2 linked regions of the Canis lupus familiaris genome follow. The protein of the gene in region 2 interacts with the protein of the main gene of each other region in a biochemical or structural test. Links are inferred from orthologs where the notes say so. Each region holds a gene or a part of one and is shown on either strand. Other genes may lie near its edges.

Region 1 (3,091 bases), on a different chromosome or scaffold from region 2:
TCATGTAATAGGTAGTAATTTTATAATCTTAGCTAAGATTATCCATGGATATCTGCATAAAGTTCTGTTCATATTTTTAATCTTAATGGTATAATTTGCTTTTCTGTCAGGGACACTTGTTAAAATAGCCAATTGTATCTGAGTTGTATATATCATTGTATGAAAGGTATTTGATTAAAAAATCTTAGACTAAAAATTCCTTGAAATTTTTGCATATTCTTTAAATACTTAGAAAAGCCATTTTGGTTTATGTAAAACTGTTTGCATTTATTATCTTTTTAAAACTTATTTTTCAAACTGCTAAAATATTTAGATTTGCTGTTAGCCAAATCTTTTTTGTCTCAGGTCATGCTAAATGTGTAGAAGTTGTGAAAACTTTCAATTTACCATTACTGATGCTTGGGGGAGGTGGATACACAATTCGTAATGTTGCTCGATGTTGGACGTACGAGACTGCGGTTGCCCTTGATTGTGAGATTCCCAACGGTAAGCATTCTTATTAAGACCCATACGTACAAATGTGGGTGGGTGGATGATGAGCTTCTAGAGCCATGTGAACAGGAGAGCAGTCACTAAATAAATGCCCTTTGTGTTCACTTTTAAACGTTTTCTTGGGGAATGTTTCACAGCTTGAATCTGGGTTTTGTGCGTGGATTTGTGTGGAAAACTGAGCTTTTAATATGTTACTTTATTTTATTGTTTTTAATAGAACTGCCATATAATGATTACTTTGAGTATTTTGGCCCGGACTTCAAACTGCATATTAGTCCTTCAAATATGACAAACCAGAACACTCCAGAATATATGGAAAAGATAAAGTAAGAGACCATTGAGTTAATTTGATAAATATTTCATCTTTATTTTTATATATCAGATGTTTCCTTTGTCTTTTTCAGAAGCATTTTTGAAACGTTAAGATGACTGATTTCTTTTAATTTTTTTGAGATCATGAAAACGTATGTGCTTCGTAGCTCAAAAATATTTCCATTTTCTACCAAAATGGATTTTTAAATTTCAAAAGGCACTGTAAATTGTATACTTTTTTGCCTTACGAAAAAATGAAATTTTCCTTTTTGAAACATTTTGGTAGGAGCACCTGGGTGGTTCAGGGGTTGAGCGTGTGTCTTTGGCTCAGGGCACGATCCCGGGGTCCTAGGATTGAGTCCCACGTCGGACTCCCTGCGTAGAACCTGTTTCTCCCTCTGCCTGTGTCTCTGCCTCTCTCTGTGTGTTTCTTACGAATAAATAAAAATAAAATCTTTAAAAAAAAAAAAAAAGAAACTTTTTGGTAGAACTTTATCTCCATGAACAAAGTGTTTAGAGATCTGTTGTGCTATACAGACCCAAGTTTGTGTCTTTTCTCTGCCAACACACTAATTTTTGTGACATTTGGCAGGTTAATTTGCCTTTAGGCTTATATTTTCTCATTTTTGAAATGGGGGATGAAATAGTATCTGTGTTGTAAATTTTGAGGATTAAATGGGTTAATGATAGTCTGAATGTCATGCTTTTATATTATTATTTAACTCATAGGTTTTAAGTCAGGTAAAAGATGAAATGTTTGCTTAATATTTCCTCTTACATTTAAGAGGAACATGAAAAGAAATGAATTTTATCTAATAAATTTGCATGTGTAATTTAGACAGCGTTTATTTGAAAATTTACGCATGTTACCTCATGCACCTGGCGTCCAGATGCAAGCAATCCCAGAAGACGCTGTTCATGAAGACAGTGGAGATGAAGATGGAGAAGATCCAGACAAGAGAATTTCTAGTAAGATAATGCCTTGATGTGTATTGTTACATTCAACTTTCTTATGTCTTAAAACCTGATTTGAATGTCAGTGTTTTTAGTTCATGTGACTCTGTGTGATCAAGGGGGTGCCTGGGTGGCTCAATCGGTTGAGTATCTGACCTCTTGATTTTGGCCCAGGTCATGATCTCAGGGTTGTGAGACCAAGCCCCACACTGGCTGTGGAGTCTGCTTGGGATCCTCTCTCCCTCCCACCACCACCCCCCCTGGCCCCCACTCCCCATCCATGTGCATACATGTAAACATGCTTTCTCAAAAAAAAAAAAAAAAAAAAATCCTGTATATTTGGGAATGAAATGAAAAGTAATACCATTTATCCAAAGTAGGATGAGTTGACTAACATCAAGCACCTTCCGTTTGAGTCTCTAGCCTCCCATTCCACTTAATATTGCCTGCTAGAGTTCTAGCACAATGGTATGCTATTGTGGTGTAGACCTTCTAACATACTTGGTAGTAATGATATTTTTAATATTGTCTATGTCTCATTTTAGCTGTAAAACGAATGGTTAGGGATCCCTGGGTGGCTCAGCGGTTTAGCGCCCGCCTTTGTTCCAGGGCGCGATCCTGGAGTCCTGGGATCGAGTCCCGCATCGGGCTCCCGGCATGGAGCCTGCTTCTCCCTCCTCCTGTGTCTCTGCCTCTCTCTCTCTCTCTCTATGTCTATAATTAATAAATAAATAAATAAATAATAAATATTTAAAAATAAATAAAATGAACGGTTAGTCCTTTGAAAAAGACGTTATCCCCACCTCCTAGTAGTAAAACATAGTTTTCCCCTCCAAATTTTTCTTGGTGAGATCCCCAAATGTTTTTCATGTTGCTTTGAATTATTTCTTCCTAGCCTCCGATCTAAATTTTCAGTATTGAACAAACCATGCATTCAGTTCTAATCTTAAAAATATTAAGTATCTGTTACCCTGTACTTTTAGATGTAGAAATTGGTTGGTGCATTTGTACCTGAGTGTGCTAACAACAATTAAACCTCTGACCGTCTTTGTCAACTTTTCTTAAAATCCTTATATAATCAGTTCGAGCATCAGACAAACGGATAGCTTGTGATGAAGAATTCTCAGATTCTGAGGATGAAGGTGAAGGAGGACGTAGAAATGTGGCCGATCATAAGAAAGGAGCAAAGAAAGCTAGAATTGAAGAAGACAAGAAGGAAACAGAGGACAAAAAAGCAGGTCAGATTTATTTCTTGTTAAATATAAGTTTTAAAAATGAGCTTCACTTCAACTTTTTATGAAATCTGAAGCCAGTTACACAAGTATTAAAGGGG
Region 2 (4,104 bases):
GAGTTGCACCCTCCACTGACTGAGCCAGCCAGGGGCCCGCGCAAAGTGTCATTTCTTGATAACAAGGGCAGTGGCTCGCTCAAACCAGGTATGAGAGGCCCAAATGCAGCCTGGAATCTCCCTGCCTTTCAAAAGCCTAACAGAACTGCGCACGTTCAAGCACCGATACCATCCATCAAGCAAAGGGCTCTTGGGCAAAAAAGGAGGCGCCAGTTTGCTTTGCTGTTCTGTTCTGTCCTGTGATCCAGGAGATGGAGGAGATAAGCTGCACCCCACATCCCAAGGGAGCCCCTGAGAAGTGCCCAGTTGGCCTGCACACTGACACCCCCCCCCCCCCCCGCGCGCCCCTTTGGCAGCTTCTGTTCTCCTACCTGTGTGGGTTCGCAGGTGTGCCTTGAGATGAGAACTCTTCGTGTAGGTTTTGCCGCAGCCCGCATAATCACAAGTGTGAGTGGCTGTCCTTTTCCGGGGCCATGACCTTCTCCCCCTCTTTGGTTTCGGCTCCTCCGGCATGCAGGAACCAGGAGGCATGAGCTCTAGGGGTGGAGAAGGTGGGGTGAGCATCGTCCCCTGAGCCCCCGGAGGGCCGGCTGACGCAGGGCTCCCCAGCCCCCGAGCTATACGGATCCCCAGGACTGACCTTGGTAATGGAGCGGTGGGACCTGTGGCTGCATCTGGTCTGGCAAAAAGGGCGGGTAGTTGGGCCCGGGGTGGGGGTGAAAGCCCGGGGGGAGTGGTAGGGCGGGGTGACAGTCCCTGCTGCTCAGCAGTTCCTCGGCACCCAGGGTCGGGGTAGTCCTGCTGGGGAGCTGCCGCCCCAGGGGGAAGTCGTGCGCTGGCGGCCGGTGGCCGTTGCTGAGAGGGGGTCCGGTGCCCAAGTGGGCCTCCAGGGGCCGGCCGACCGTGCACGACGAGACCGCCTCCTGCTTGATCTTGGGGCACATGCGCGGCGGGCCGCCGCTGTAGGGCGCCACGACCACCGGGTGGCTGCCATCCGGGCTGCCCTTGCTAACACTGATGACCGACGGGCTGCCGTACTCGCTGCCGGGGGCGCTCAGCGACGCCTTCAGCACGAACTTGCCCATCAGCCCGCCACCTGGCGGCTGCGGCTGCTGCGGCGGAATGTACACTGGGTCCAACTCGGGCCGAAGGAGCTCAGCCACGAAGCCGCCCGAGGGGCTCACGTCGTTGATGTCCGCCAGGTTGAAGGGGGCCGTGGGAGGGGGCACGGGCTCCCGGCTGTAGAGGAGGCCGCCGCCGCCGCCGCCGCCACCGCCACCGCCGCCGCCCGGCGCCACGCCCGGGTCCCCCCCGGCCCGGATCGGGTAGCTGAAGCTGCAGGTGGAGGGTGCACTGGCCGCACCGCTGCTCGACGGCGAGGACGACGACGAGGCCGACGCCGACGAGGACACGGTGGCGGCCACGGACTCCGGGTGGGACAGCGAGTTGGAGAGGATGAAGTCCAGGTCCAGGAGGTCGTTGAACTCCTCCGTCTCCCTCCGGGGTAGCAGAGCGGGGTTGCTGCCGCCACAGGCCGCGCCGACTCCGCCGCCTTCCAGGTCGGGGGCCACGGTCGCCGCCGCCAGGTCGTAGGGGCGGCCGGGGAGCACCGGGGGAAGTCGCTTCATGTGCGAGAGCTCCTCCCGCCAGCGCTGCGGGCACAGGACGGGAGAGGGGCCGTCGGTGCGGGGCCGGGCCGGCGGGGAGCGGCTGCGGGGGCCCGCGCTGCAGTCCCGGCCCGGCCCCGGGCCCCGCGGGGAGGCGGTGCGTCCGCCTGGAGGGTGTGGGCGTGTGTCCGCCCGACTGCGTGTGAGCCGGCGCCTCGGGCTCGGCAGCCCGGGTCCTCCCGGCCGGATCCCGGGGTCGCCGAGGGGCTCCGCCTGCGCCCCCGCCAGCAGCCCCCGCCAGCAGCCCCCGCCCACGCGCCAGGCTCGCTCGGGCCCGGGCGGCGTCCGCGGACGCATCCGCCTCCCGGCCAGTGGCCCCCGCGCCGGCCCTGCCGCCAGCGCTCGGAGACGTGTGCCGGCCCGGGGCGCGCCCCCGGCGGCTCCGCGGCGGCCGGACCACACGCACGTACGCGGGGCCGAGGGCGCGGAGGCCACCCCGGGAGCGCGGCGGGGCCCGGGCCCGTGCGGTGGCCGCTCCTTGCCCGCGCCGGGCGCCTCCCGGTGACCCCGAGGCTCCGCCCGTCCCCACCGCAGCCGCAGAAGCCCCCCGGACGCTCCTGCCCTTTCGGGGCCACACTCACGTTATTCGGGGCACCTGCTGGACGCAGGGTCTTCTCCCTTCCCGCCGGGCCGGACGCGAACGTGGAGAAGGACGGGAGCAGAGCGTCGCTGACAGCCATGTCAGACTCGCCAGGTGGCTGCCTGCGGGCCGGGGTGGGGCGCAGAGGCGGGGGTCAGGGGGCCGCGCTCCGACGCCGCCCAGGCGCGGCCCCCGGGTCCGCGGCCGTCGCCCCTCCCTGCGCCCCGCGCCGCACCTACCTCATTAATGTGGGGGCCCGGAAGGTCCTCGGGAGTCCGAAGCAGTGGGGGTACCCAAACCCCAAAGTCAACGAAGAGGAGAAAAAAAAAAAAAAAGACGAAGCCAAAACCAAAAACCCCAAACTGCCCGAGATCCTCCTTTGGATTAAATATAAACGGGAGATGCCTTTTGCTTGCTTGCTTGCTTTTTTTTTGGAAAGTTCCTCTGTACACAAAAGTTCTTAGAAAAGTTGTAAACTCGTAAAAGCAGACGATGAGCCGAGGCGCGTAAGTAGGTCCGTGGCCGAGCTGCGCTGCGCTCCCTCCGACTCAGCGGCGTCCTCCACCGCTGCTGTCGCTGTCGCTGTCGCGGTCGCGGTCGCGGTCGCGGGGGCCGCGGCGGTCGCCGTGGGCGCGGGGGCCGCGGCCGGGCTGGCGGGCGGGCGGCGCCGCCAGGTGAGACTGGCCGCGGTGGCGCGGGGCTGCGGACGGGGCGGCGGCGCGGCGCGCGGAGTCCGGGGGGCCGAGCGGGGCGCGCGCGGCCATGGGCGCTGGCCGCGGGCGGTGGGTGGGTGGGGGGCCGGAGGGGCGGGGAGGGGCGCTTGGCGGCTCCCGGGGCCGCCGCCGCCCGCCGCCGCCTCTGCTCCCCGCGCGCCCGCAGCCGCGCTCGCTCTCTCGGGCCGGGGAACTGCCGGCGGCCGCCGCGCGCTCCTTACTTAACTTCTCGGCTCCCGCCCTACCCCGCCTCCTCCCCGCGGTGCGCCGCGGCCCGCCGCCAGGCCCCGCCCCTCCCTTTCTTCTCCCCTCCCTCCGCGGCCCCCCCGCGCGTTGCCATGGCAGCTAAATAAACAAACTCGGCGCACGTGGGGGCGGGGGAGAGGGAGGGGCGCGGGCGGGGCCGGGCCGAGCCGTGACGCCAGCCCGGCAGCTGGCGGGCAGGAGCCGCGCTGACGCCGGCGGCGGCGGCGGCGGCGGCGGCGGCGGCGGCTGCCCGGGCGCGGGGCGCGGGGCGCGAGGCGCGGGGCGCGGGGCGCGGGCTGCCGGGGAGCTGTGCGTCGCCGCGGCCCGCTCTGCGGGGCCGAAGCCCGTGGCCGAGGGGCCCGCCGGGGGCGGAGGGGTCGGTGCGGCCTCCGCGCCCCGCCCCCACCCCCGCTCCGGCCGCGCTCGCCGCGCAGTCTGCGCGCTGGAGAGAAGCGCGATTATCCGCGTGACTCACGCGGCCGTCCGTCCCTCCCCTGTGCGCGCAGCGGCCCTGCCGGGCCCCGGGCCTGGACCCGCGGGGCTCGCCGTGGCCGCCCGGCGCTGCGGCGGCAGTGGGAGCCGGAGGGAGGCCGCCCGGGGCGGGACGCGGGGTTGCGGGCGCGCGGGCTCCAGGCCGATGCGCCGCGGCGGACGCCTTCCAGCCCGCGGAGCTCAAGCGCTCTACGCCTCGCACCCTCTTTCCGCTCTACGGATGGGGACACTGAGTCATAAAGGGGGGCAGCGGCGAGATAAAGGTCTGCGGGGCGCGCGCTCCGTGGCGCGGGTCCGAGGGCCGAGCGCCCGCCCCCCCCCCCCAGGGGCGCTTCGCTGGAGAGCGGCCACGTGCCAGGACGTGGAGCCGCGCGGCGGGACCCCGCTTCCCGAAAGGGGCCCGACG

What was found.
Region 1: the proteins of KLF4 (region 2) and HDAC2 form a complex in vitro, tested with the Homo sapiens proteins (2 studies listed by BioGRID). The link is inferred for Canis lupus familiaris from reciprocal best matches to the Homo sapiens genes KLF4 and HDAC2.

The regions. Positions count from the first base shown.
Region 1 is NC_049233.1:70,457,022-70,460,112, reverse strand, and holds part of HDAC2 (histone deacetylase 2), read left to right. Parts: intron 1-345; coding exon 346-486; intron 487-709; coding exon 710-818; intron 819-1,642; coding exon 1,643-1,773; intron 1,774-2,840; coding exon 2,841-2,996; intron 2,997-3,091. UniProt on the Homo sapiens protein: Histone deacetylase that catalyzes the deacetylation of lysine residues on the N-terminal part of the core histones (H2A, H2B, H3 and H4).
Region 2 is NC_049232.1:63,260,184-63,264,287, forward strand, and holds the start of KLF4 (Krueppel-like factor 4), read right to left. Parts: upstream 2,880-4,104; 5' UTR 2,492-2,879; coding exon 2,487-2,491; intron 2,370-2,486; coding exon 2,249-2,369; intron 1,653-2,248; coding exon 641-1,652; intron 537-640; coding exon 372-536; intron 1-371. UniProt on the Homo sapiens protein: Transcription factor; can act both as activator and as repressor. Binds the 5'-CACCC-3' core sequence. Binds to the promoter region of its own gene and can activate its own transcription.